Notamacropus eugenii: one gene and its partners. The protein of the gene in region 4 purifies or fractionates together with the protein of the main gene of each other region. This does not show direct contact. Links are inferred from orthologs where the notes say so. Each region holds a gene or a part of one and is shown on either strand. Other genes may lie near its edges.

Region 1 (7,292 bases), on a different chromosome or scaffold from region 4:
AAATAAATCAGATTTAAATAATTGGAGAAATATTAATTGTTCTTAGGTGGCCACGGCCAACGTAACCAAAAATGACAAGTCTATCTGATCTTTGTTCAGTGTCATCCCAATTAAACTACCAAAAAATTATTTTGAGCTAGAAAAAAAATAAAATTCATTTGGAAAAATAAAAGGTCAAGAATGTCAAAGGAATTAATGGAAAAAAAAAACGTGAAGGAAGGAGATATAGCAGAGTCAGACCATAAACTACCATAAAGCTGCAATTACAAAACTATCCGATATTAGCTAAGAAATACTATGGTGGATGAAAGAGTAGGTATACAATACACAGTAGTAAATGGCTCTAGCAACCTTGTGTTTGATAACACAAAGATCTTAGCTTTTGGGATGAGAACTCATTTTTTTGGCAAACATCTGGGAAAATTGGAGAGCAGTCTGGCAGAAACTAGGTATGGGCTAACAGCAAAATAAAGTCAAAACTGACAGATGATCTAGACATGAAGAAGAGATATCAAAAGTAAAATAGAGGAGCATGGAACATATTACCTATAGGATTTATGGATAAGAAGAATTTATGAATAGATGAGAGTATTATGTGATGTAAAATGGATAACATCCAGAGAAAGAAGTATGGAATTGGATCACAGAATGAAGCAGACCATTTTCTTTTGTGTTATGTTTTGTTTTATGGTTTCTTTCATTCATTTTAATTCTTCCATGCAACATGACTAAAGTAAAAATGTATTTAATAAGAATGTATGTGCAGAACCTATATAAGACTGCACGCCTTCTCAGGGAGGGAGAAGGGTGAAGGGGGAGGGAGGGGAAAAAATCTAAGATATATGGAAGTGATTGTAGAAAACTGAAAACAAATAAAAAAACTTTAAAAATGGAAATTTTGATGACATTAAAAGTTTCATGACATTTATACAAGTTTTTGTACAAATAAAAACAACATAGCCCAGATTAGAAGAAAAGCAGGAAACTGGGAGAAAAATTTTAGAGAATTTCTCAGATGAAGGTCTCATATCTCAAAGATATAAAGAACTTTATCAGATTTATGATGAGTCTTTCTCCAAATGATAAATGGTCAAAGGACATGAACAGGTAATTTTCCGATGAAGAAATTAAAACTGTATGTAGTCATTATGAAAAAAGGCTCTAAATAATTATTGATTAGAAAAATGGAAACTAAAATAATGTTGAGATATCATCTTACATCTATCAAATTGACCGCAATGACAGAAAGGGAAAATGTCAAATGTTTAAGGGAATATCGAAAAATTGGGACTTTAATACACTGCTGGTGGAATTGTGAACTGATCCAATAAATTTAGAGAGCAATCTGGAATTATGTCCAAAGAGTTATAAAACCATGCATATTCTTTGATCCAGCAAGGTGATTAGGGAAAAAGAAAAAAGAACTTATATGTTCTAAAATATTTATAACAGCTCTTTGTAGTCACAAAGAATTGGAAATTGAAGGCATATCCATCAATTTGGGAATGGCAGAATAAGTTGTGGCTTATGACTGTGATGGAATACTACTGTGCTGTAAGAAATGACAAGCAGGCTGCTGTTAGAAAAATATGCAAAGACTTCCATGAAATAAGAATGCAGACCAGGAGAATGGATGTATACAATAAAAGCAATATTGTATGAAGAGTAACTGAATAACTAAGCTACTGAGTAATATGAACATTCAAATCAATTAGGAAGGCCTTATGATGCTATCTCTTAAAAAGAAGTGATATGAGGGAATATGTACTGTATAGTACTACACATTGTTCTGTTCGCCCATTGTTTTTGAAGAAAATCGTGACATCAGAGAAATGATGACAGGACTTGCACTTGACTTTGTTTTGAGGGAGGGAGGGCTGTGCAGGTCACCAGCCTCACTTCTCTTCCAGAGCCACCTGAATCCAGTGACCAGATATTCATCAGGATGACTAGGGAAGGCCCTTGGCCTTTCAGGGTAAGGCCTTTTCAGGTACTCCCTTAAAGTGAGGTAATGCCCATTCTGTAAACAGGCCTCTTTAAAAAGCAGTCAGGGGATGACCCCTTTAAACAGAAAAAAAGTAAAATAAATCAAGCTGGGAGGGGCAGGAGTCTCAGGGTGGTTGTTTCCACCAGAAACAGTTACTATTGACATTCACTCTAAGCCAGGATTACACATGGTCATCTTTGGGGGAGAGAAAAACACTTCTCCCCATCTATTTTCTTTAAATTGTGTACACACACACACACACACACACACACGTCACGTCTCCGACTCCCCACTCTTCGTGACCCCCTGGAGGTTTTCTTGGCGAAGATACCAGAGTGGTGGGCCATTTCTTTCACCAGCTCATTTTACAGAGGAGGAAACTGAGTCAAGTAACTTGCCCATCTTCCTGGCTCCAGGGACAACCTGTTTCCTCGTCTGTAAAATGGGAAGAAAGACCACAGAACCTCAGGGGGTCAGAAGACAGAACATACGTAAATGCTTCGGAAACCTTTCATCGCTGACCTCTACAGGCTGAACCCGGAAGCACAACGTCCATCCCGAAGGCCCCCTCATTTTCCCCTTGAGGGCGGGATTCGACCCCAGCCAGCGCGGGGTGAGCGTGGCCCCCGCCCGGCCCCAACCCTGCTCCCGCCCGATGCTCGCAGGCCGGGGTCCAGACGATCGAAACTCCCCGGAGATCTAAGAAGGCCGGGCTCGCGGTTCTCCGGGAGAGTCCGTCCCGGTGGCTGGGTTCCCTTTCTCCTGCCCGCCCAGCTCCCCGGACCGCACCCAAGTCAGCCCGCCGGAGGAAGAGGGAGAAACCGCGCCCGTCGGGCCGGGGTCGGGAGAGATCGGGCACGGCGCATCCCGGGTCTTACCGCGGTCAGAACCCTGAAGTCGTCCCGCGTCAGGTAGCGTAGCTTGGCCACGTTCACCTTCCCCATGGCTGTTACAGGAGACAACCCGCGATGGAATGTTCCCAGCACACATGCCCGAACGAGAAGGCGCCTCGGGCGCATGCGTCCTTTGGCTGCCAGGTCCTTGTCGATATATAAAACCCCAAGATTTCCCTTTCGAATAAAAAAGCAAGCGGTCTTCTTTGTTTCGGGAATCAGGGGGAATTACAAGTTTAATGTTTTTCACAGTGAATCAAAGAGCGAAATTTAATCCTGGATGTGGAAAAGTGCTCTTTCTGGGAGGTTTATTCTTTTTAATCTGCCAGGATTGGCTACCTAGGTGAAGTGTCCTGCCGGGGGTGGGGGCCCTGGGAAATTGACGAGTGGTGGGCATAGCAGTTTCTTCCAGGTTAGTTTCTATTGCTGCCTTCCGGCACCGTGGTCTCCTAAAGAGGGTGAGAGAGACAGAAAGACTAGGCTGGGCACTTTGGACCTGGAGAAGTTAAAGGTAAATAAGTGAATAGTAAAATAAAACCAACTTTATCTGGAGGCCCCCTGTAGCACCTTCGGGGATAAGGTGCTGGTCAGAGTGGTTTAGATGCACTGTCATGGACTGGCAAGGGAGTGGACTTGGGAGTCCTCATTCCAGTCCTGGAGATGACAGTTACCAACTTGGGGGTGCTTGGGCGTATCTTGTCATGTCTCTCCCCCCAGTTTTCACCATCTGTAAAGTAGGAATTAGAACCCTTTCTGTTGCAAAGGGGTTCCACATTGTGAAGCTTGGTTGGTTGGTTGTTGTCCTGCGTTCTCCAAGAGGACCAAAATGACATCACCTTGATAAAGTGAAATTTCAGGGTGTCCTTCTGTGACTGATGAGACTGGGAATGCTCTACTACAGGCTGGGCCCAGACAGTCTGTCTGAATATGTGAGGTGAATACTCCAAATTTGCGCCTCCTACATCTACTTTGTTCTGTCTCAATTCTGCTTTGCCATAGAGCACAGCACCCTTTCTGATATGGTCCTGTGCCAGTGTCTCCCATGTTGCACAATCAAATCCAGAGTTCTTGAGAGTGTCCTTCTATCACTTCATCTGACCACCATGAGTTCTCCATAAAATAGTCTTTTTGGCAAGCGTACATTTTGCATTTGAACTCTGTGGCCAACCCATCAGAGTTGTGCTCTCTGAAGCACAGTTCGAATGCTTGGCAGTTCAGCTTGAACAAGGACTTTAGTGTTTGGTACCTTATCATGCCAGGTGATCCTCAGAATCTTCCTAAGACAGTTCAAATGAAAGTGATTCAGTTTACTGGCATAGTGCTAGTAGACTGTCCATGTTTCACAGGCATACAACAATGAGGTCAGCACAAAGGCTCTGTATACCTTCAATTTGGTAGTCAGTGTAAATACCTCTTCTCTCCCAGACTTTTCTAACTGTGTCATTTCATTCCATTCTTGAACATGAACTTCCAGGAAATTGACCTGAATCAGGCCTTTCCTGGATCTGAGTAATGTGCCTGGTCAGAACTATGTCTCAAACTTTAGGTACCCTGACTCAATCGGACTTTTATACTTAGGCTACCAGGAGACTATATGTCAGTTAGTACTTCTAGCCTTGGTTCCCTGAATCAATTAAATCTCACCAGTTTAATTGATTTTCAGGGAAAAACTAATCTAACCTACATGTCTGGAACCTTAGAAGATATTGTTCTTACTTTATACCCTGTTAACTCTTCTATGGCTTAATAGAGAGTTTACAGTGGTGAAAACATTCATCACCCTTTGCCTAGTCTGGTTACAGACTTCTCTAAGTATAATAGATAGGGTGATGAACAACAGCAATAATTGGTTGTTTCCCAGTTGACAAATTGTGAAACTTGAAACAGCAATACTATATTACACATGGTGTTCCCCCAAAAGCTACCAAAGATTCAAACTATTCAAAACCATATCTCATGAAACTCATTATCCTTTTTCTCTGCCCCCATATACTTTTACTTGTTAAAGGATAGAGGACTCAACTGATACAGAGCAAAGCACTTAATGAAATTGAATAATAAAGTAACATGAAAACATTCCTGCCACAAACCTAGAAAATTCTTTTCTCCAAATACGTGCATCATTGGTAGGAAGAGTAGCTATGTGTAGGGATCATGCTGGTAGGAGAAACTCATGCTTCCATGCTGTAGGGTGGATGATATTTTCTTGTAATGACATTGTATTGGTCCTTGGATTTGCACCCTGCTGGGCAATTGCTCTCTCTTGGACTTATATTTGATTATCAAGTTATGTCTGTGGAAGTCTTTGCTTCTTTCCCCTAGTTCTGTGTTCTCTTTCTCCTGGTCATATCATGCCTCTGGTCTTATGGGTTGCTGCTTGTTATAAACTTTTGGTGTTCATCTCATCTCATCCTTCTCAGCTCCTATCTGCTAGGCTGAGGTAGACAACTCCTTCCTAATGTGGGTGGACTGAGAACTCTTTAGTCATCTTGGTTATGACTATCACACCCAGCTAACCAAAGCTAGGCAGAAAATTTTAGGCTAACAGTAAGTCTTTTCTTTTAACACCATGTGTCTGGGGTTGAGTTGTTACCCTATGTATCAGTCAGCTGTCTGAATTAGGGTTCTAAGTTCTGAAGATCTCTGGTTTGGCAGCCAAACAAATTTGATCTAGAACAAAATCTAAGCAAAGAAGATAAAGGTCACTCTTCTCTTTCCATCTAGCCAACATTCTTCCTTCTGTTTGCTGCATGTCAGCCACAGAATCCCTTAGCTTCAATACTGTTTTGTCCACAGAAAAATCTTGCTTACCTCTTGCATACTTTCTATATTAAACCTGCCATGCTTTTCCAGTTTGGGAAACTATTTTTTATTTGTTAGAAGCTTTGAACTTTTTTATATGTGTGTTTTGTCAGAAATCCCTGTTAAAATGAAGTGAGGTTTGTTTGGGAATGTGTACCTAGAGCAGAGTTCCTGACTAAGGCTCCCATCTCTTCTGTGAATACTGAGAAATTGAGGAGTCAGAGGGTGGAGAAGCATAGCAGTGATAATTGAAATGGAAGTCTACCAGGTAAGCTCTATTGAGGACTTCTGTACCACATAATAGCCAAATATAAGATATAAAATTGGCATATAGAAAATATTATAAGATACAGAGAGATGTTATGAGGAATCCTAAAGTTTGGGGTAAATTCATCGGAAGAGCATTTCATACTTTTCAATCTCAGCAACATTCAGAGCAGAGACGATTTTTGATCAGGACAATCAGGTTCCATTTCTATGTACTGAGGCAGTTTCTGTACCCTGAAACTCAAAACCTCCATGAAGAGGTGGCAGATATAGAGGATTACTGTGGTGGTGTTGGTAGGGAAGGTGGAATTCTAGGAGGTTTTGACACATGTATGTGGCAGGGGAAAGTTTTGATTGAGAAAGCATGCTTCTAGATTTCAATCAGGAACATTGCAAGTAAAATCCCATCTTGCTTACTAGTTGTTTGACCCTGGGCATGTCATTTAACTTGTTTACTACAATTTCCTCAACTGTGAAATGGGTATGATAACATATAATAATAGAATAAAATGAGTATAATAATAGTACTGAGGGAAATGATTGTTAATACACAATGACTTGGGGAAATCAAAGGACTTTTCTTTCAAAGTCATGATTTTAAAAAGTTCAGTCTCTTGAAGGGCATTACTGATGAGACTGAACCCCACCCTGGTAGAGTAGCTTTTGTGTTCTGCTCAGGCTTGGGTGGGGCATGAAATTCTTTGAATAGATTGCCCAAGGCACAAGTGGTCTGGGTAAGATAAGTCAAGGATGATATTCCCAACCTCTTATTGAACACCTACTCTTTGAAGAGTACCAGCTGCCATGATTATCTTTGGTTTAAGAAAGAAAGGCCAAATAACCATCCTTTTATCAATAACATGTTGGCCTTATTAATAAAATGATTAAATTATCCAGAAATTATGTCTCTTGAACCTTTTTATTGTCACAGCACCTAAGTCAAAGAGTTGTTGTGAGGATCAAATGAAATAATATTTGTGTGTCTGGCATGTAGTAACTGATATATAAATATTTATTCCCTTCCCTTTTTGTCAGTCTAGTCTGTTTGATGTTCAACCATATGTAGCACCACAGCAATATTCACAGCACCTATGGCAGCTATGAATATGCCAGCATAATTCTGAATCACAAAATGTAACAGACTTTCCACATGGAAAATAGAACCAAAACATTGATTTAGACACCAGAAAACCAAATCCATCATAGTAACAAATAAATCCATCATAATAACCAAGAAGTCTATACACGGTATCAGGCCTTCCCACAAACACTCACAGTCCTGGCTGCCTGTTTCCTCTGTCCTTCCCAACTCTGACTAGTCTGACCAACTCCCTCTCAGCTCT
Region 2 (7,662 bases), on a different chromosome or scaffold from region 4:
CAAATTGCTCTCCAGAATGGCTGGATCAGTTTTCAACTCCACCAAGAGTTCACCAGTGCTAGACAAATTAATTTGTAACCAAAGCCGAATAAAATCAGTTGATATCAAGACCTGAAGTTGAGTTTGAGAAACCAAACAAACTAACTTCACACGTCATACTGAAACACAGATCCTAAGAGGGCCTACAACTCATACCTCCTTATGAGCAGCCGAGCTGGACTCCCAAAAACGCTGCACCTTGCTGAAGGTGACGTTGGTACAGTCAGAAAGGCCACTCAGGAAGGTGCCTGAAGATTTCTCAGAGAGCACTGAGCCAGCTTCATTCTCCATGAGGGATTGAGTTTTCTCTTCCCTAGCCAAGGGCAGAGGCCCAGCTTGCAGCTCATTATGCAATTTAAGGGCATCGACGGTTAGATCGCTTTTTTCTGAGAAGAGGAAAAGGGTTAATCTTTATAGAGAGAGGTCATTGACTTTCTTTAATCCCTGCCTCTCTATATTCAGGTCTCTCATCCTAAAAATAATTTTTTTTTCCCTTCAACCATGCCATTGTCCCCCCAAGTCACTGGGTTTTTCCTCTTCACCAAACTCTTTCCAAGTATGGCTCCATTTGCTCTCTCTGTTTCCTTACTATTTATTTCTTCACCCCTGCAACCTGACTTCTATCACCACTGTCCTACTGAAACAGCTCTCAAGTCACTAATGAAACAAAATCCAACTACTTCCTCCAATTATCATCTTTCTAAAGGTCTCAGTGGCATCTTACTCTGCTCAACAACCCTTCCTGACATTTGATTTGATTGTTCCTCTCCCAACTGGCTCCTTTCTTCCCAGATATACTAAATGCCACCGATGCTCCCCATTTCTTTTTATACTCTCTCCTCCTTCAGCAATCCAATCCAATCTGCTGCCTTCAATAACCACTTCTATCCAGCTACATTTCCATCCCCATCCTCTCCTGCATCCTGCTTTTATAACATTTTCCATTTGGAAGTCCCACATACAATTCCTGTTAATAAGGGCATCATGATCCTTTAAGCCACCTAGGTTCCAAATCTAGGAATTATCCTTGAATTTCCCCCCTCTCACCACCTACATTCAATCAAGTCACCAAGTCTTGGCTAGTTTACCTCTACAGCATCTTTTGTATGTGTCCCCCCTCTCACCTGGTCACTTCTTGCTTTTGCTCTGGGAATAGTAATGAAATCAACTCTACCATGCACAGAAAGGATGCTTCGAACAATCATTCTATGGCTCCACTCAGCAGCCCTGCTCAAAACATCCCTCCTAGGCCCACTTCCCTATCTATGATATCTTCCCCTATTGTAATGTAACAGGAATTGTGTTGTTTTCATACCTTTCACAGGATTTCCTTCTAGCTAGAATGTATTGATTACTTCCTTACTTAGAAGGTGCAACTTCCTTCAAGACTGCATCTTTTATAGCAGGCCCTCCAGCTGTTAGTTCTTCCCCCAGAAGTTACTTTGTACAGATAGTCCTTATTTACTCCTCAACCTACATCCCAGAAAGTAAATTCTTTGAGGGCAGGGACTATACTCTGTGTTTGCTGAAAGCCTAACACCTAAATCTAGCTAAATGAATGACTGGTACAATTATTTCTACCATCACCCAAGCTAAAAATTTACCTTCAAGGTATCTTTAGCTCTTCTCTCTCCTATCCTTAATTCAGGAGTTCTTAATCTGAAGTCCATAAATTTATTTTTAAAAAGTATTGTGATAATTGTATTTTATGTAACTGGTTTCCTTTGTATTTTACTCATTAAAAAAATGCTATTGGGCTTCATCAAACTGCCAATGAGGTTGACATGAAACACACACCCAAAGTTCAGAACCATGGCCCTGACCAGTTGCCAGAATCCTGTCAATTCTACGTCTACATTTTCTCTCCCCATTAGTAGCTTAACATGTCCCTACCCTATGCTTCATTCAAACTGATGGCTCCAAAACTTCCAAGCTTTTCCACAGGAACGGAGGCACTTTCCCCATTTCCATCTGGCCCAAATGCCACCCTCTCTCCCAATACCACTCAACTGCCACATTAGTGTCTCTAGCCTTCTCTCACACATGTTCTCTCCTTTGTTGGCCAAACATTTTCCTGCTTCCGTGCCTTTGCTTGTCTCCAAAGCTGAAAATGCCCTCTCTCCCTCCCCATCTTCCTTTGTTGAATCCAGCTGGGAATGAGACTCAAAAATTCCCCCGTCAGTGACAACCCTAAGCACCAGCAGTAATCCGTAAGACTTCTACTGCGAAAAAAAATTGACTTTTTTAAAAGTCCTCCTTAAATCTCACAGGTTCAAGAGTGACTCTTGCTTTTCCCACTCCCCCTCCTCCCTGGATCCCACAGGCCACTCAGCCTCACGAGGCCCGCAATCTCTGTCCAAACATGCTCCCAGGACACCAAGGCCTGACTCCTAGGGCACTCCTCGGCCCTCCTCGGGTCAAAGACCCCCCAGGGCGCGCTGACGCCTACGGCCCCTTCTCAGGACAGCTTTTTAAAGCGCAAAATGAACAACACGATTACTACGGACACCAGTTATACAGGAACATACGAAGAAGCATAAGGGGGGAAGTTCCTGGACTCCCCGCATTCCCTTCTCGGACCCCACGGGGGGAGGAGTTAAGGGCCCTAGTCCCGGAGCCCCTTCAGGCCCCGCCCCAACGCAGGCCCCCAGCCTCCAGGCCCCCGCCCACCCGCGGCCAACTCTGGACACCCATCCCCTCTCCCCAGGCCCCGGCCCGGGCCGGCGCTACCTGAGGGCCGGCTGAAGAAGCGGCTGCGCGCGGCCTGCCGGTGCCGCCGACCTTCGGGATTGGAATCGCTGCTGTGTCCCTTCTTCCAGCGCTTCAGCTTGGTGGAGGCGCCCGACGGCAGCTTCCCCGACCGCCCCATGGCTGGGGGCCCACGGCGGTAGCAGCTCCTGACGCCGCGGCGTTCGCCAAAGCCCCCGGCACGCACAGCACCCACGTGCGGCTCCGAGCGCCTCACTTCCGCTTCCGGCCAGTCACTTCCGGATCCTTTCCCCTGGTTACCATGGTGGAAGTCGTCAACATCCGGTTTCTGTGAGTCTGGACCTTGGAGGTCTTAGAGATCTTAGAAATTGTTTGAACTGCAATTCTCAGACTTTCGGGTCTCAAGACCCGTTGTCGAGGACTTCAAGGAGCTTTTGTTTACGTGGGGTATGGCTGTCGATGTGTGTGTGTCCGTCCTTCCTTGCCGAAAAAGACCGGGCCGTCAGAGAGAGACGACGTGTCTGAGGGAGGACTGAGCTATCGATACGGTATTAGAAATGAAAAAACGATTGTTCAATCCTACCCGGCTCTTCGTGACCCCATTTGGAGTTTTCTTGGCAAAAATACATTTTACAGTGAGGCAACTGAGGCAAACAGGGTGAAGTGACTTGCCCAGGGTCACACAGTGTCTGAGGCCAGATTTGAATTTAGGAAGATAAGTCTTCCTGATTCCAGACCCAGCGTTATTATCCACTGCATTACCTACTTAGATAAATTTTTTGGGTTTTAATATATTTTTATTTATTTCTTTAAATATTTCCCAATTACATGTAAACAATTTTAATATTTATTTTTAAAAAGTTTGAGTTCCAATTTCTTTCCCTCCCACCCTTTCCCCACCCATTGAGAAGGCAAGCAGTAGGAGATCGAGTATACATATAAAGTGGTAACATATCTTTAAATTATGTTTTTTATTTATTTTATTATCATATTTATTTATTTTATTTTATTGTATATTTATATATGTAATTATTTAATTTTTTTGCTCTTAATTACATGTAAAAACAATTTTAACATTTTATTTTTTTTTAATTTTGGGTTCCAAATTCTTTCCCTTCCTCCTTCGCCCCTCTTTGAAAGGGAAACAATTTATTATAGATTATACATTAACAAACATTTTTGAATGGTAAAAAAAAACTTAGTGAGAAGAGTGGCATTTTTTAACATATTTTTGCAAATTGCTTTAATGTCTACTGGATTCTCATATCTGCCTCTGCTTTCAATCTGCTTTCATTATCTTGTTTTGGTTGAAGTGTGTGAAGAAAACCCGACTTCACACAGAAGAAAAGGAAGGAATATTTAAATAGGTGAACAACATCTTAGTATTATTATGAAAATAGTTTTGACCTTAGGGTCCCCTGAAAAGACTTCCCAGGGATCATACTTTGAGAGCTGCTGATTCTGGCTAATCTCCATTGCAATGTTCTCTGAGAGAATCTTCTGTGTTAGTAACTGCTAGCTATGACAGGGCCATTGAATCTAGCTCCCTGAATCCTAGAAGGCTCCAGGTCATAAAATCATTGAATGTCAGACCTGAAAGGGTCTCATTTTACAAATGAGAAACTGAGGCTCAGAGAAGAGAAATGACTGACACCCCCCCCCCATTTAAATAGCTACTCTGTAGCAAATCTGGGACTGAGAATAGTAATATCTATTTCTATAGCACTTTACAGTAAGTTTTTCTTCACAACAAACCTATTTATAGAGGGAGAAACTAAGGGAAAGCTGATTTGCCCCAAATCAAGGAGTGAATCAAGCTTTTTTTTAAATCAGTTTTTTAATATTAACAAGCATCTGCCCTTTGCCCCAACTCTTTCTTCCTTCACATTGGCAGGAAAAATCCACTAGATTTTCTGTCTCACTGCACCCAATTTACATGAGTGGTAGAGTATCACTTACCTCACAGGATTGTTTTAAGGAAGAAATGTGATGATGTTGCTTTGCAACCCTTAAGGCACTATATAAATGTGAGCTATTGTTTTCACCTCATTTGGATCCCACAGCCTGGGAGCATCCCTGATTGAGGGGACGTTTGTTGGTGAAGTGAGATGTAATCTCACAGCATAGCACCAGATGGTAGGTGCTGATAAAGAGCCCTGAGGTTGTAAGCAGGAGCCTAGGTTCATATTTTGCCTCTGTTAGTTTTGGAACTTTGGATAAGTCACTTAGCTGTAGGTTTCAGTTACTTCATCCATAAAACTATTTTGAACATCTCCTATTTCAAAATACTTTTTTAAAAAAGTCACAGAACTTTAGGTCTAGTTTCATCGAGATATGAAAGAAAGGAACCTTTTCTCAGCCTCTTAATCATAGTTACTCATCTTTTAAAAGCAACCTTTTGAAAAAGTAGGGGAGCCCAACTTTCAATTTATAATATATTCAGTGCAAAATTATGATAGCTTGGGTAAATTTGGCTAAAACATACTTGGTGCTACCTTTTTATTCTATATTAAGCAAATTGTGAGATACTAGGATAGAGTTTTTGGTAAATATACAATAAAGGAGCACCTTGCTTCATGCGAGAGATGGATATACATTCCTTTAAAAATTTTCTTTTGCAAATTGAATCATTTAAAATGAACCAGTGTGGTTCCTTATTTAAAGGGATTTTAGGTGAATCCTTCTGTAAAGCAAATATCATTGAATTTACCTCTGTGTTTTCATATAGAGTATCAGGATTGTTTAGAATGATGCCTTTTATTGTAACACTCTGGGCAACAGTCGGGAAGGTTTGTTCTTAATTATAGGGATAATAGAGCATCGATGAGTTACTGGTCTAGTTGAATGAGGAAATCAGCAGTCAGCCAGTTTTGTAACTGACTGAGACTACAGCTTGTTATAACTTTGTAACCCTGCAGTTCACAAATCACTTTCTTCGGGCCAAACTGTGAGGTGTGGAATGCGAGTATTTATTACCACTTTACAGATGGGAAAACAGGTTCAGGAAGTGAGAGAAAGTAGTCAGAGATATTAAAAGCCTATTTCCTTAAACCACATTGTAGCTTTATTGGACATCTGGGAAATAAAACAAGAAATTGTTTCTATTGAAAGCTTGGGGTGCTTTTAAATGCCCCTGCTAAATATGTTTACTGAATGGGTTATTGCTTGCACAATGATACAGCATTTAACACATTAAGCCATTCATCCAGCAGGATTAATGTGTACCCTCAACCTTTGTGTGGCAGCAGAGCCTATGAGATCTTAAAGGCACGGGGTGGGGGAAATTTTGTCCTGCCAGCTATCCCTGCTGTTATTACTTACAGAACTTCTCCTATAGTAATGGTTCCTCACTTTTTTTTGTTTCTTGAACCCCTTTCAACAACAGCAAAAATGTGTTGTTAACCCTTAAGATAACAATATGCATAGAGGTGGCTAGTGGCACACTGGATAGAGTGCTGGACCTGGAATAAGAAAGATCTGAGTTCAAATGTCACCTCAGGCCCTTGCTGATTGTGTGACCTTGGGCAAGTCACTGAAACTCTTTGGCTCAATTTCTTTAAATCTTGTTTATTTGTTGGTCTCCCTGCACCCAAGCAACAATGAAATATAACCTGAGCTAGAACTAATAAAGGGAAGGAGACTACATGGCTATAAAGCAGAAAAGGGGAAATTGCAATGATTATTCTAAGATTTAACTCAGATGCTGCGTAAGGGTTGTCTTAAGGGTGGCCATTTGGTCTTAAGACCTCCCATCTTGGGAAAACTTGTAAAGGGATGAGAAAGGAAAAATTGAAGAAAAACTCATGAATCTCATTACATTTTACTCACAATACAATGGTAGGTTTGATACCTACTGCCTCACTAATAATATGGTGCTCAGGGTTCTTTGAATGACTCATTGCACTGTAGTTTCTCCATTTCCCAAACCCTTATGGAGGGATCAGACAACCTCCTGCAGGACTACCCATCAGAACCTCCTTTGCTGTGAGGCAGTCTGGCACAATGCCCTTTGAAACACCTGAAGAACCTTGTCATTCCTTGGACCAAAACTTTTACTATCAAAAATCCTTTTTAAAAAAACTTCTTAAAATTTATATATTTTAAAAGTAACATCTCATTATCCTCCTTCCCTCTACATTCTGTTTTTCCTACTGCTTGCTTCTTCTTTTTTCTAAGCTCCTCATACCTTGCCCTTGAAGAAGCTAGGTGATACAGTTAATAGAGTGCTGGACCAGGAGTCAAGAAGACCCAAATTCAAATCCACCCTCAGAGACTTATTATCTGAGTGATCCTGGGCAAGTCACTTAGCCACTGTCTCTCTCAGTTTACTCAACTGTGAAATAGGGATGATAACACCTGAACAACAACAACCTGGCGGGGATCAAATGAGATAATATTTTAAAGCACTGTGCACATAGTAGATGCTTAATAAATGCTTATTTCCTTCCTATTTTGAGGCTTCAGAAGGCTGAATGGAACCCACTCAAAAGCTAGATCTTTTTCCCAACACAGCGTTTTTAGATTTGGAAAACGCTGACCTTATTTTTGTTTTTCTTTGTATCCTAAGTGTTTAGCACGTAGTAAGGGCTTAATAAATACCTGTTTACTAATTGATCTAGTATAACCCCCCAGTTTTACAGACTAGTAATATTCCTTGGTAAACCTTGAGGAAAGGGCAAAGTTATTGGTGGGGGTCCTCAAGCTTATTTGCTTTGATTAAGGTGAAAATAAAAAGGGCAAGCTGTGACAGAAAGAAAGTTATAGAGGGCTAAGTGCTAGAAAAGACAGGAAAGGGCAGCCAAGACAGTAATAAATGGAAAACATTGCTCTAGCTTCAAGTGATAGAAAATGTGATACAGCCCACTATACCCTCCTCTTTCTGGTTGTTTTTTGGGCCCAAGTGATATACCAGAT
Region 3 (7,683 bases), about 190 Mb from region 4:
ATAAAAGGTTTCCCAAAGTCTTATTCCAATTAAGTTTTAGTAAGTAAAATATTTTTATAATAATACCTAACATAAACGGCAATTAAAAGTTTGAAAAACTATATTTGCAAACTAGGTGTTACAGCAGATAGAGTAGACTGAGTGCTAGAGGAGCCAGGACGATCACAATTTGAATCCTTCCAGAGATATTTACCAGCAGTGTGACCCTGGACAAGTCATTCACTCTTTCTCTAAAATGTGGATAACAGCCCCTACACCATGCGGTTTCTGTGAGGATCAAAGGATATAATAAATGTACAGAGTCCTGTAAATCTTAAAGTGCTATCTTAACTATTATTGTTGTAGCCTAGACTAATAGAATAGCCACCCAAGTATTTGTCCTGCCTCAGGAATCTCTCTCTTTTTAAACACTCTTCACATCACTGTCCAAGTAATCTTCCCAACTCACTCCTCGGATTATATTACCTTTCTACTTAAGAAACTTGAGCAGTTTCCCAACAGTTTGCCTCTGATTAACTGAATTCCAACTGATTTTTTCAGCCTTATCTCCCACAAATTCCCTCTACAGACTATTATAACTATAGGTTCCAGACAAACTAAAAGTCACTCTCCATCCCCTGTTCTCATCTTGCCCTCTCCCATCCCCAAATCTTTCCTCATAGAATGTCTCATCATTGGAAGGGATCCCTATCTCACCTATATCCAATAAGGCCCTAACTCAAGTGCAACCTCTTCAGAGAATTCCAAAACTTGGAAGGAACCTAGTCGAGGGGCCAGAAAATGACTTTATTTAAAAATGTAAAAACTATTCTTAGTTTGAGGGCTATACAAAAATAGCTAATGAGACCATAGTTTGCCAACTCCTGATCTATCTAATCCAAACTAAAGACAAACAGAAATTCCCTATACATCTCTGACCAATTCATGAAGCTTCCCCAGTCCTTTTTTCCTGCCACCTTCCCAAGGTGAATATACTCTTCAACTCAAATTTCTTATCCCACTTTACCTAAATTTCTTCTACCTTCGTTTCCATCATTCTCATATGTGTGTGTATGTATATATGTGTGTATATTTATATAAAAATAAAATTTTCTCTCATCAGATTACAAGAATTGTGCATAAGCAAAGTGCACAGACATCACAGGCACCTAAATATTAAACTGAATAATTTAATGGACTGACAAGCGGTGTGATGTATTGGAGGGAGATTCCTGAATGTGGGAAGTAGAAACCTCCCTTTGGCACTTACCGAGAGAGTAGCTAGGTGCCACAATGAAAAGACTCCTGCCTGGAGTTAGGAAGAACCAAGTTTAAATCTAGCCTCAGACACAAAATAGCTCCATGACCTTGGGCAAGTCACTTAACTGCTCTCTGCCTCAAACAGCATCTCCCTCCCAGGGTTGCTGTGAGGATCAAGTGACAGAATATCTGTGAAGCATTCAGTGCAGTGCCTGGCCAAAGCAGGTACTTACTAAATGGCTTTTCCTTTCCCTCCCCTTACTCTGTGTCAGGTGCTAAGCAGCGCGGATACAAATAAAGGCAAAAAACCCTAAAACAACAACAACAAAACCAAGCAGCCCTGCTTTCAAGGAGCTCACAGTCTAACAGCGGGGGAGACAACATGCAAAGAACGATGTTCAATTACGCGCAGGAAAAATACATCGTTAGCCGGGAAGGTACTAAGATGAAGAAAGACTACGTAAAAGACCCTGTACGTGACAAGGGGCTTGGGCTTTGAAAGGATGTAGTAACCTCAGTAAGGGGGGGCAGGCCTGGCCTTTGCAAAAAAACCAGGGGGTCCTACGGGAGCGGGGTGGGGGGAAGATTGTTCAGCAAGTTTTTTTGGAACGTAAAAGCTGGAAGGATGGAGATTAAAACAAAAAATCTGGCACCCAATTTTAAAGAGCTCTAAGTAGCTTGTAGTTGATCAGAACAGGTACCTGAAACCTTCTGAGCAGGATAATGATATAGTTAGGCCCGCGCTTTAGAAATACCAATCTGGTTACCAGGTGTAAACTATGTGGAGGGGGAGGAGGAGGACCTAGTTAGCTCCTCAAGGGAGGGCCGGACAAGGGGTCTTTGGCTTATACGTCACTAGGGAAGAGCCACCAGGAGCACCGGGACCTGCCCCACGGAAGTCAGGACGAAACCCAGCACCGAGGCCTCCTGGGGCCTAGCAGCAGGGCAATTCCCTTTCGTCTACACTCCTCGGAAGTCCCGTTGCGGGGAAGGAGGGTGGCCTGGCTCACCATGCTGCAGCCGACAGAGGATCACGTCCGTAAGACTGGGCCGTCAGCGCACACTCCCAGGTATTCCTTGCTCTGGTTGGAGCGACACACGCTGGGTCGGTCCTAGTTCACTCGCTCGCGCGCCGGTATCACGTCACGCGGCGGCCACAGGGCCCTAGCAGGTCACTTCCGGAAGCAAAACGCCCCCGGAACCTCTCATCTGCTCTGTGCGCCCGCTCCGTATACGTCACCACGCGCGTCGGAGAAGGTAAGCCAATCCTCGAAGAGAGAGTCATGCGCGAGGCCCGCCCCTCTCCTCGAGACCTTTTGCGAAATGTCTCTCGCTCCACCTTCCGGAAGCTTCGCGCGGGGCTAGGGAAAGGCCGGAAAGGGGGATTTCCTCTCTCTATTTCGGTGAAGAGCTTTGTGGGGTGAAGGAGAGAGGGAAAGCGGCATCCATATACACCCCCCTCCGAAGGAGGGGTGACAGCGGTCCACGCGCCGTTGGGGGCCGAGAGGCGGAAGGCAGTTTGTAAGCCGGGGGCGGGGCGTCCCAAGACGTCGGAGGCGTCGTTGTCTGGGAGACCGTGGAGGCCGCTGAGCTGGGAGGGGGCGTGGTTTGCGAAGAGCAAGCTTGTTTTCTCTCCGGCTCCCTCTACAGGCGTCGGCGGGGAATGCATTGACCCTAAATCTCCAATCCTGCCCAAATCTCGGGCGGCTTTCCTGCGGCTTCCGCCGATCTCCAGTCTCCAAGAAATCAGAAACCATAATGGGAGCATCTCCACAAGTGCCGTCCTGTCTCTGCTTGCGGAGGAGCCGGCTTATCCTTGTGGACAGCGTTGTGTCTTGTCGAGATCGAACCTTTGTAACTTCCACCTGCCGCACGTGGTTCCGTCTTCTGGGCCCGACAGATCCAATCTAATCCCTCTGGCACTTAACAGTACTTGAAGTACTTCAGAACAGCTCTCTTGGAACCCCTGGATCTTCGCCGTTTTAAACAACCCCAGCTCCTTCAGCAGACCCCCTATGGTGTGGACTCTAAGCGGGGCTAGATAGGGAGGTCAGACTCAGAGACCATAAGATGAGGGTCCCCGTGGGCTGCATGTTGACTTAGAAAAACCACGTATCTAGATAATTGTATTTAAAGAAAACATAGGTAACATTTTCCCGTTACATTTTCATCTCCTCGTTTTTGAGGAGGGTCTTTGACCCCTGAGCAGGATGACCTCTGAGGCTCTTTGCAGCTTCAAGAATGATCCCGTTATTTAAACAGGATTTAATGTTATTTTGTGGGGTTGTGGGGTTTGTTGTAGTACTTTTAACATTACTACCATTTTGTGGGATATCATTTAGTGACCATGTGAGTTACACCTTTGAACCACATGACCCCTCCAGCTGCAAGTCTGATGCCATCATTGCAAAGTTGGTTGATTTTATCCTAGAATGTGCCGGCAAATGTTAAACAAATGTCTTTCTGAGGGGAAAAGAAGTATACCAGGCACATTTTTAAAGTTTAATCTACATTATTATCATTTTCCCCATCCCTTTTTTTGAATTTAGAGAATATATTAGTAAATCAAGTCTTTTTCTGTAGTATTAGCTGGAATTCCTAGGTTTCCAAGAGGTAAATGCTCCCACAGAAAATTTAACAATTGGCTTGCAGGTTCAGGCTGGTTTCAGCATATTTGGAATGCTCGTCCCATTCCCCCAGTTCTGCAGCAGTTTATTTAGGGGGAATACCGAATATCCTCAAGGCTGTAAAAATTTCAGGTTGTGCTTGAGCCACTTTGTGTTTCCTTACAAAACTCCCGTGAGTTTCTTCCCTATGATATCTGAGCTGGTAAAAAGTATTCAGAATCTTTCCCATATTTAGCTTAAAATTGAAATCATGCTCTCACCTTTGAAATATGTGCCAAAAAATATCAGGTTTACCCGATTCTCATTATTTTTGGATTCCATATTTGTAAAGTTGCCTACTTGCTAAAATTTATGCTGTGCTTTTGCAGTCATTCCTGGACATATGCAGTCACCCCTCCTGCATGTTCCCAGCTGAGGTCAAAACAAAGTGATGTTTCTTTGCTTTTGGTTCAGCTTTTATACCATAAACAAACATCCTTGCCACACTTTTCACATTCTTGTGCTTTTTGTTGAGGATTTCACTATTTAAAATGGCCCCCAAGCATAATGTTGAAGTGCTGTCTAAGCCTTATAGAGAAAACACATGCATCAGATAAGCTTCGTTGGGGCAGGAGTTACAGTGCTGTTGACTGTGAGTTCAATGTTAACGAATCAATGATAGGGTACATCCAGAAAAAGGAAGAGGAAACTTGCTGGTCTGTTTAGGAGGCTGTTCCAGAAAGTGCTCCGTTAACATCTATAGTATGTGATGAAGTGATGGAAAAGTGGCTAAATTTATGGATTCATGAGATGACCAATTAAAAAAGCATAGTAGGTAGCACTGTGGTGAGGAAGAAAGCCAAAGAAATTTATAGTCCTGTTTCCCAGGGTCAGCAAAATGTTAAACCCTTCTCTGCTAGTGCTGGCTGGCTCACAGGCTTCAAAAAGCAATACTGTGTGAAAACTGTTCAACTTACTGGTTCTGCAGATCAGGAGGACTGTGGAAGAATTTTTAAAAATATGTGCTAAGTGTTACACAGGAAAAGGGTTGTGTGAAAGGACAGGCTTTCAGTGCTGAAGGGATTGGCTTGTTTTACAAGGATGTTGAAAAATGAACCTATATAACACAATTGGCCTCCAAAGCCCCTGGCTATATAGCAAATATTGTACAAACTTGCTACTGGGGGCCAATGCCAAGGGTGACTTCAAGAACAAACTCCTAATGGTGTATAGAACCCAAAATCCATAAGCACTTAAAGGGAAAAACCTGAACCATATGCCAGTCCATTGGAGGTGGAACAAAAGAGCATGGATGACTCCTAAAATATTCTGGGATTGGTTTCACAACTACTTCATCTCAAAAGTTTAATACTATCTCCAGGGCAAAAATCTTGCCTTCGAAGTTTTGTTAATTTTGGATAATGCCCCAGTCCATTGCTGTGAAGAGCTCAAAAATGCCCACCCAAACATAGTTCTTTTTATGCCCCCAAAACCTACATGTTTCAACCAATCCCTGAATCAGGGCATAGTAAAAGCTTTCAAGGCACATTACATGAGGGAATTTTATAGCAAGGCTTGTAAGGCTCTTGACAAAAACAAGGAAATCACCATGAAGGATTATTGGAAGTCATTCACTATAAGTAGTGTTATTATTTTGGCACAGCCAGGGATAGCACCAAGCAGGCTACTATCAATAACTTGGAAAAATATTTGGTCAAACTGTGTGAAAAAGTTTGTAGGCCTAGAAGGTGTTACAGAAAATATAAAGAGCAGTGTCAAAAGCATAATGCATAATGCATGGCAAATAAGTAGAGAAGGCTTTGGCATGAAAGAGGAAAATGTGGAGGAAATTTTGGCAGAAAAGGCAGTAGAACCCATCAACAAAGACCTGGATGAGATGGCAAAACAAAGAGTCAGCGATAATGAGGAAGGTGATGAAAGTCTGCCTAAGCCTCAGAATTGTTGCTCTCAGAGGCCAAAATATCAGAATGGAATTCTCCATTAGAAATGATCAGTATTATGGAAGAATGTGACCCTATGCTTGGGCACAGCTTGAAATTTAAGCACCTAACCTCCACTGGGTTTGCCCCTTACACCAAGATGCTTAAAGATCTGAGGTGAAAAGCCAAAAAGCAGACAAAGGCTGATGTCAAGCCGGTTCAGGAGAGGAAATTGCCAAAGCCATCAACAAGTTGCAAGAGCTAAACGCCTGAGATAGGGTTGCCAGATATTGACATGCTTCCCTTGCAATGCCTTGGTCTTCTGCAGAATAAGTTCCACCAACCGCTCTCTGGTTTTCCTGAGGCAAACCCTGGTGGAGAGATTTAACTGCACAAGGCACCACATCACACATCCTATAGCTCCACCAAAAGTAAGATTTTAGTAAATGTTTTTATAAAACTTCAAATGCTTAGTCCTTGTTTAATTTTTTCTAGGACTTTTATTTCCATTACTGTATTATACCATATATAGTATTGTTCACAGTACTGTCTGTAAATTTTACTGAGTACAGTATATATGTGCTGTGTGTATATGTGTATGATAGTTAAAAAATAGTATAGTCACAGTAAAGTACACTACACAAAAATGCTGTAATCGACATTTTATTATAAAGAAAATACTGCATATAATTATTTTTAAGAAATATATATTAAATAAGATGTCTTTAAACAGAAATACACACAAAATGAGGTTATATATTAATTGGTCAATGAGAATAATGTGGTGGTAGGCTCACAGGGACCTAATAACCTTATATTAAATAGAATGGAAAAGGAACTTAGGGAAGATAGACAATAAGATATTTGTTTTATTGGTTAATTTTTTCTCTCAAAAATCTTTCCCAGAATTTTTATCTTCTTTCTGTTTAATCACCTGATAGTTTTAATATTTTACAATGTTTAGAAAAATTTTTAAAAATTATTCTTTGTTATCATGGAAATCAGAAATAATTTGGACTAAATTCATGCAAGAATAAATTTTAATTATGTGAAGTTCAGTGTCAAAGTGATAAGTCTTCAGATTTTTTTAAATGGAATAACATCTTTTTTATTACCATATGTATAACATGTAATCATCAATCAGTAAAGTAGTGAAAGAAACATTTTTAAAACATCTTTTTCAGAGCACTGAGAAGACAAAAAGTGAACAAATCCCAGCCTTCAAGGAATTTCTGTTAAAATGGGTGAGACATCAAGTACACACATGTACAAAACAAACATAAAGTTAATTTTTTGGGTGGGAGGCACTGGCCTTGGGTAAGACCTCATATAGGAGGCAGCTTTTGAGCTCAACAGAGAACCAGGGATTCTAAGAGGTAGAAGTGAGGAGAGAGTACATTATAGGCACATGGGATGTTCTGTGCAAAAGCATGGACCCAGGAAACTATGTCCAGTGTTTTCTGAGAGCTTTGTTTTCCTCAAAATCTGAAAGTTAGACAGTAAGTTCCTAGAAAAAAAAGTTTTAATTTTGGAGTAAGTTTATAGATTGCAGGTTTATGAGCATTATCTGTGGTAGGAGCTGCATTTCTTTATATGGTGAGCTCCTGAAGAGATCAATACTCCTACATATATTCATCTAGCATTTGGCTAGTATGAGTACATTGGCATAGTACAGAAAAGATGCTCATTTTATATATCAATATATAGTACTTACCTGACATTAGCAAGCCATACATTGTTATTTCAGATTAGTTATGAAGCTATGGGTTTGTCTTGAATTGCTAACATTCTCTTGTGTAATTTCTTTTGTGAATAGCAATTTTTCTTCCTAAGGAAAATTAGTTGACCTTTAGGAATATTGAGCCCACAATCTTAGCTTCATTTTCATTACCCACTCC
Region 4 (7,605 bases):
GTAAATTTTCAATGGCTATTTCCTAAGTAGTCAGGTCTGCCTATTTTCCACCCTCCTCAGCAACCTCCATCACTCTCCAAGACATCCCCCCCACCTCTAGTAGGGCCAATGTCTTTGCTAGCATATGACTATGTGCTGCTCCTCCTTGCACCTGTCCCTTTATCCATTTTATTCCCCTCACCTGGAGAGTTCTTCCCCTTGAGGGAAGGTCTCCCACCTCCCTGGCCTTAGTACAGCCCCAAATCATATTCACCTGCCTGACTCATGCTGAATAGTGATCTGCTAAAGCCTGGAGATTTTTTCAGACCAGCTGTTACCTAACCATGTCTCTCCCACTGATGATTTCATCTCTCAAACCATGACTTAGATAAAGCACAGAGGCATCCCTAGTCTATTTTCAGATGGAACGTAATGGACTAAAAGCATCGATTAAGCACTTACTACGTGCCAATACAGATCTACAGAGTTAGCCATAACTATCATTCTCTTTCCAGTAACAATTAACAAAAAAGAAAAATTTTTAATCAAAAAACAAAAACGAGCTGCCAGCTTCCTTGGAAACCAGCCGATCATCAGCAAGTACAGCCCAGTGATACCACACACCTGCATCACCATGTCCAGGCCTTTGCTGGCCTTGATCACCCTGGGATTTAGAGGAAAAGGGTCTGGGGGTGCGTCAATCTGCTTGATCTGGAAATCACCATGCCCAACGATATGCAGGAGCCGGTTTACGTTGAGAGTCTGCCCACGAACATAGCCTGAAACTTTTAAGGTGCCCACCAAGCTGCTCTCTTGGCTGGGCACAAAGTCAGCAGCATGGGCAAACAAGTAGGAACGCCGGTCTCGGAAGGCCAGATGCCGCTGCTTCTGGTTAGCCAGATGTCGCAGAAGCAGCACTGCATCCTGCTGGGTATCCAACTGGAGCAGTTTGTCTCCTGGAAATCGCTTATCTAAGGCCTTGCTCAGCTTCTTCTTGGCATCTGCTTGTTTCTTTGGGAGAAGGCCCCCAACCCCCTGGAGGGCTAGAGCTGGGCACAAAAACAGACAAGTAGTTATGAGCCATGAAAGCCCACTGCAATTAATGAACCGTTCACTCTGCACTAAACACAGAGCACCAAACCCAGCATAGAGGTGGCAGACAAGGGACGGAGGATAAACCCACAAACTAAGACACTCAATCAGTACTATGTGGGTAACTTGGCCCCTAAGAAGAGGATCCTACCGCTCTCCTAGAGATGGCTGATAATCATAATTCACTTACAATATGTAGGAAGCCCCTGAGCAAAGAGGCAAGAGAGGCAGTAATCGCCTGTGCTGTCCCAGCCCTCCACTGGATCCAGAACAAACAGGATGGTATCAGCCACTTTGGCAAGGTCCAACAGAGTGTGCAGATCGCCTGGATTCACAAGGCATCAACAAGACATCACAAACACTCAGAAAACACTAAGAACACTGGCCAACTAACTATGACAGGGACAGTCCAAGTCAAGCTCAGCCCAACGCTGCTCCTCCCTTGGCCTTTCACCCACCTGGTTTTGCAGATGTAAAGAACCATCGATGCTTCAGCTGAGGACAGAGCAGCATGAAGCTTGGCATTCCAGCTTGCTCCCCCACAGGCACAACCTTCTTGTCTGTGTTCTGGAGCAGCTGCAAAGCCTCACCCAGGGAAACCCTCTCATGCAGGGGCACCAGCAGCACCTGATGAGGTGGTCCATCCTTGCTGCCCAGTTGCCTCTTTTCTGCCAAAACCTGAGGACAGAGAAGAGAGGCGGGTGAGCACTTCACAGGCAGGTCCACCTGCCCTATTTCCCTCATTCTCATACTCAGTATTCCATTCAAATGATCTCTCTACCTTGAGGACCACAGAATTGAGAAACTATCTAACCCAACCTCCAGTCTTAAGGAAACAAAGTCTTATTGAGGGAGGGAGCTTGTTCCGGGTCACAGCAAGGCCAGGATGAAATTGCTGGTTCTCCAACTCTTACATGCAACAACATTATTTGGGGGTACCACACTGTCTCTAAAGGCATCCTGCACCCTGGACCAGGATGCTCTATCTACAGCGAGCGATGGGGCCAGGAGAAGAATGCTGACCAGACCTCTAACTCAAGGCAGGGCCTCCTCATCAACCACTATGGGGCATCTTTGTGTCGGACGCTGGGGGAGAGGCCAGAGACACGAGGACAAAAGTGGACTGTCCCTGTCTGCCAGGAGTTTTTGTTCTCCGTGAGATTTACAGCACGGAGTCAGCACCAGGGAACTAAGGGGGGTGGTCCGGGAAAGGCAGCAGGGGAGAGGAAGCAGTGCCGGGAGGCGAGGGCGGTTCTGAGCAGGGAGTTTCGTGATGACTTATTTCTTGGGAAGATTACTTCGAAAACAGCGTGGAGGAAAGACAGAGAAAGGAGAGGCTCCACAGGGAAAGGTCCAGTAGGATATGGCAGTAACTTAGACAGGAGGGCGGCCTGAACCCACGCGACGGCCACGTGAGAGGGGAGGAAACTGGAGTTTCGGCTAAACTTCGGGAGATGCCGCGGAAGGGAAGGGGGCCGCTGGGGTTGGGGGCAGGCGTTCAGCCCCCACCCCCCGCCTCACCGCCTCCTTCTTCTGCTTCCGGAGCTGGCTGGCCCGGTGCCTCTGGTCCACTCGGCTCAGCTCCTTCCTCCTCCTCTTGCTCAGGGCCTTCACGGCCACGCGACCTGGAAGGCGGCCCCGGGAGGGCAGAGAGCCGACCGTGAGTCCGGGGCCCTGCGGCAGCCGAGGCGGCCGACTACGGCGGAGGCCAGGGCGGAGAAAGGCCTCCTGCGCCCGCAAGGACGGAGAAAGGGCTGAGCTGAGCCCTCCTTCCGCCCGCTCCCGTGACCCCCTCACCTTTGCCGTCCCGCTGCGCCGAACCCCGACCCCGGTGGCGCCCGCTCTTGTGGGCCTTATTCTGCTGTTTGAGCGGGCCGGCGCGATGAACCGCCATATTGCTCCCCACGTGCGTGAACCTACGACTTCCGGTGCTAAGCCCAGGGGTTCCGGTTCCGCCAGCACAGAGGCCTGAGTGGGTGGGGGCTCTGCCAGGGGGCGGAGTTTCGGTGGAGGGGCGGGGCTTTCCCCAGTTTCAAGAGTAGATCACTCCTCAGCCAATGGGAGTATTTGAGACCTACAGCCTATCGCGCTCTAACCTTCCCCCACGTGGTCACCTGCGGACTTGGGGGCTTTAATTGCAAGTTCGGTCAGGCTTCCCCAGAACCCTCCCTCGGCCTCGGAGTTTGCTTCTTGTCTCCTGGTTTACGAGAATACCCTGCTTTAGTTGCGGGGGATGGGAGGGCAGGTTGGCTATTTGCTTGTGACTATGGAGACCCCACCCCCAGGCCCTTCCGAGCTTCTGGCACACAAGGACGGAGCCTCCACTGCTCTGCGTCTGGTCCTGCAGCCCAGAGCTGCTCGTGACTTCTCCAATTCACATCAACCGTTTTTTTCCTTCCTTCCTTTCAGGGCCCTAGTGTCCTTTTCCTTTCTGCAGAACTCCCCGGGGAACTAAAGGATTTGGAATTGGAAGGGCCCTGGGAGGTAATCTCATCACCATTATCATCAAAAATTTATGAGGCGCCCACTGTGTGCCAGGCGCCGTGCTCCGCCCTGAATGCCACAGACAGACAAAAGAACAACCCACCCAATTTTCTAGGTCTCCCAAGTCACTTAACAGAAAAGAAAATGGGCTCAGAGAGGGGAGATGCCTCTCAGCCTAAGTCTTCTCTCCTAACTTCTGGAATTGGGACTAAGCGAATGTTTCAGGCTTAAAGCAAGTCCCTTCACCTCTGCACACACACACACACACACACACACACACACACACACACACACACACACACACACACACACACACACACACACACACACACACACACACACACACACACACACACACACACACACACACACACATCATCCTGTGACTGTCTCTGGCCAAACTAAGCCTAACTCGACTCCAAGACCCAGAGTTTGCAACCCTGCCATCGCTCCCCACACCCCAGCTGCTGCGGATTGTAAACAGGGGGTACCCGCCCTGGAACGAATCCGGAGGCAGAGTCGAGTCAAGCAATATCAATTTATTAAGCATCTTTTACGCACGAGGCACTGTGCTGAGCACGGGGGGTGGGGGTGGGGATTTAAAGAAAAGCAAAAAAAAAAAATAGCCATTGCTCTCCACGAGTTCACTACATGCAAACAATTTGGTACACAAAGATATAGCCAGATATACGTTGGACTTCATCTCTGAGAGAAGGTAGAGGAGCGGAAAGAGCGAGTGAGCGAGAGAGCGAGCAATTCATGTTTATTTCATCACCCAGATTCCCAGCCTCCAGCCTGGGGTGCTTCTCCATCCCTTCGGAAACCCTGCTGGCCTAAGGTTCGCCCAAGTCCCGAGCTGGGGCGGAGGATAGCTCCTTGCAAGCCCTGAAGGACTAATATTACTGCTCTAGACCCTGCCACAGTTACGGGGTTCTCAATCCACGGGGCTCGCCTTGTAGACGCTCCCCTCCAGTTGCCTATGCCCTCGAACTGATCTCTCTGCTCGGCAAGAGAAGCCGTTATACTTGGGTGGCATCCACCTTTTGGGGCCCTCTACTTTTCAGTCGGGTAAAGAGTCTCCCTCCTCTCCCCAAGCCTCCCACTTCCCCACCCAGGGGAATCCTGTTGCATTGTCCCCTCCTTTCTCCCACCATTCCCGGGTCAAAGGAGGTGGATGGGTGGGGGGCCCTCGCAGTGCTCCAGACGCACGCCCTCGGGACTAGGGGTGCGGGGGTGGGCGGGGGGAGTTCGTTGCCATGGCGGCGGCTGCTGGATGGCACGCGGCTCCCAGGCCAGCCCTCCTCGCTTCCCCCGCCCCAGGTAGACGCTGCCTCCCCCTCCCGCCTCCCCAAGCTCCCCCGGCTGTGGGAAGGGGCCGGGCCAGCCTCCTGACGTCTGTCTGTGCCGGGCTCGGAAGATGGCTGCGGAGGGGAACGGCGGGCAGCGGCGGCTGCAGGGTGCCGTGAGCGCGGCGGCAGCGGCGGGCCGGGGCTCCGCCTTGCCGGCGGGCAGCTGAACCGCGGAGAACCGGACCAGGAGCGGGGCCAGTGGCAGCAGCCGGGGCTAGTCGGCGCGGGGCTCCGCTCCCCTGGGCACAATGAGCCGCACCGAGGACGCAATCAAAGAGAAATTACTGTGGAACGTCAAAAAGGAGGTGAGGTTCGCGCCGGGAATGCAAGGAGCCCGGTCCTAGTGGGTGCACCCCAACAAGCCCCAGCATGGTCGGGAGATAGGACTCCAAAAGGTCCAGCCTCGGCGTGGCCCAGTGCTTTAAGGTCCCCTTCTTGCTTTGGAAGGACCCTCTCTGATTTGGGAAGACCCTGTACGAGGGGGAGAGTCTCATCCAGCGTTCCCCGGTGCTTGTTTTCTCCGCGGTCCCTGCAGCTCCCCACCCTATGACGGCAGCAGCAGTTCGGGAGCGGGGAGGGGGGCCAGGGGGGAGAGGTAGTTCCTGTGGAAGAGATTGAAGGAGGGGGATAAGGTTCATTCATTTGAAACCCCGCAGGAGGGAAACGGGGGGGCGGGGCGCGGTTTCTGAATGGATTCCCTTGGGAGCCGGGGCAATTCAGGGCACCCACCCCCAGCTCTGGGGCTCGAGGGTCGTTGAAGTTGGAAGCTTAGCTTCCCGGCTCCCGGGACCTGGGACTTTGCTGCAGAAGGGTTTTCCGCACCCAGACTGTTTCTCCCTCCTCCCACCCCCATAAGCCAAACCACTATCGGGTTCTTGCCTGAGAAACACCCGTGCGATCTTCTACATTTTCAGCCTGTGGGAACCCTTGACTTTCCAAATAGGGATGCCCCCTTCCCCAGTTTCCTTGTACCTTGCCACTCTGGCCTCTTCTATTCCCTGTTGCTTTCAGATGCCATTTCCCCCTTCCATCAGTGTGATTCCCTCCCTTGTTATGGTCTTAGCTGCCCTGCCATGTTCTCTGCCCTTTATGGGGTTCATCTCTGAAAATGTCCAATCGACCCAAGCATTTATTATTATACTCAAGCCAACCAAGCCCCTTTCTCTGCATCCTGATCTTGGGGCCCTGTCTTCCAACCATAGACATCCCAATATCCACACACCCCAACCCTACTTCTGAGCTATTTGAGAGCAAATGTCCCTAGGGAAAAGAGAACCCCTCCCCTCAGAGCCTAGAGGGAAAGGGGGAATTCTTTACTTGGGGCATGCTGGGCTGTGTGGTAGACCAAGGCTTAGATGGTCTCTTAGACCCTGTAAAAGGCTAAATGGAAGTCTGGCAGGATCCAAGAGGCTGGTGTGGTGACCAATTTCAGGACCCAGGGTAGGCTGGTTTCAGGGGTCTTTGGGGGCAGGGATACTGCTTCTTAGCAAAGAATCCTCTTTTCCTTCCTTCAGGAAGGACTGCACTAACCCACTCTTAAACCCAAGGTTGACTGCCTTTCCTTTGTATATCCATTCTCTTACTCCTTTCCACAAAGGTAGGGATGAAGCTTCTGAAATTTGAAGGATGCCTCCTAATTCAACCAGCCAGTCAACAAGTATTTATTAAGGGTTTCCTATGCACCAGACACTCTACTGAGCTCTGTAAGGTACAAAGAAAGGCAAAGACAGTTCTTGCCCTGGAATATTGAACATCCTAATCTCCCCTGTTAGTAGTGAGATTCCTGAATGCACCTGAATGAACATAGCCAGGAAGACATTAAACACACCAGATCCCCAGACAGGCAGACTGATGACCAACTGAATCTTACCCAGGGGAAATAAATAAAACCAGCTCACAAGTAGAAAACAGACTCTGTTCTCAGGGGAGATGGGCCGGATGATGTGGGAAGCAGGACACACTGATAAAAAAGCAAACTAGGACAAAGAGCCTAGCCTAACCGGGTTATATTTGGACAATGCTGAAAATTGGTGAGGTTTGTCAGGTGAGGGGGAGGCCAGGAATCTGAAGATGTCGAGCCAGGCCATCATAGGATCATAGATTTAGAGCTGGAAGTGAACTGAGGGGTCAACCACCTCAACTTTACAGATCAGGAAGCTGAGGCCCAGAAAGGTTAATGACATGCCTGAGGTCACAGCTATTTAATGACAAAGTTGGTTTTTTAACTCAGGTCTTCTTGACTTCCAGTCCAGCACTCTTTCTTTCCACTGTTTCCTTAATGAATGAGACCTAATCAAAATGAGTGGTTTCCAAACAGGAGTAAGGAGGCATGCCTGTAATTTACAAGCCCCAGGAATCAGCAAGGCTTCTCACATTCCCTGGATTAACCCTGAAGTTATTCACATCTCCACCTGTAGGACTTTAGAAGTAATTGATTCTGGGGCAGCTAGGTGGCCAGATAGCTAAAGCACCAGGAGTCAAGAGGACCTGAGTTCAAATTTGACCTCAAACACTTGACACTTTAGTAGCTGTGTGACCCTAGGCAAGTCACTTAACCCTGATTGCCTCAGGAGGAAAAAAAATGAATTGGTTCTGGGAAACTTTACCTTGCTTCTCACTAAGTGGAGCCCCAAGCTAAAAAAAGTCCTCTTGCAGGCAGGACCAGACTTTCTTTAATGTGGAATAATAAATAGGCACCACC

The links.
Region 1: the proteins of TSR1 (region 4) and RIOK2 fractionate together in Homo sapiens (co-fractionation; 3 studies listed by BioGRID and IntAct, with this or other methods). This does not show direct contact. The link is inferred for Notamacropus eugenii from reciprocal best matches to the Homo sapiens genes TSR1 and RIOK2.
Region 2: the proteins of TSR1 (region 4) and RRP12 purify together in Homo sapiens (affinity purification with mass spectrometry; 3 studies listed by BioGRID and IntAct, counting the BioPlex papers as one, with this or other methods). This does not show direct contact. The link is inferred for Notamacropus eugenii from reciprocal best matches to the Homo sapiens genes TSR1 and RRP12.
Region 3: the proteins of TSR1 (region 4) and LTV1 purify together in Homo sapiens (co-immunoprecipitation; 4 studies listed by BioGRID and IntAct, counting the BioPlex papers as one, with this or other methods). This does not show direct contact. The link is inferred for Notamacropus eugenii from reciprocal best matches to the Homo sapiens genes TSR1 and LTV1.

What each region holds. Positions count from the first base shown.
Region 1 is NC_092874.1:362,528,636-362,535,927, forward strand, and holds the start of RIOK2 (serine/threonine-protein kinase RIO2), read right to left. Parts: upstream 3,007-7,292; coding exon 2,866-3,006; exon of another isoform or gene 2,559-2,865; intron 1-2,558. UniProt on the Homo sapiens protein: Serine/threonine-protein kinase involved in the final steps of cytoplasmic maturation of the 40S ribosomal subunit. Involved in export of the 40S pre-ribosome particles (pre-40S) from the nucleus to the cytoplasm.
Region 2 is NC_092872.1:214,204,107-214,211,768, forward strand, and holds the start of RRP12 (RRP12-like protein), read right to left. Parts: upstream 3,010-7,662; 5' UTR 2,909-3,009; coding exon 2,770-2,908; intron 426-2,769; coding exon 196-425; intron 1-195.
Region 3 is NC_092873.1:232,098,800-232,106,482, reverse strand, and holds the start of LTV1 (protein LTV1 homolog), read right to left. Parts: upstream 3,018-7,683; 5' UTR 2,253-3,017; coding exon 2,250-2,252; intron 1-2,249. UniProt on the Homo sapiens protein: Essential for ribosome biogenesis.
Region 4 is NC_092873.1:40,321,546-40,329,150, forward strand, and holds the start of TSR1 (pre-rRNA-processing protein TSR1 homolog), read right to left. Parts: upstream 3,003-7,605; 5' UTR 2,966-3,002; coding exon 2,869-2,965; intron 2,697-2,868; coding exon 2,593-2,696; intron 1,750-2,592; coding exon 1,530-1,749; intron 1,397-1,529; coding exon 1,262-1,396; intron 1,029-1,261; coding exon 604-1,028; intron 1-603. Other genes in the region: SGSM2 (small G protein signaling modulator 2), read left to right, coding at 5,153-5,209. UniProt on the Homo sapiens protein: Required during maturation of the 40S ribosomal subunit in the nucleolus.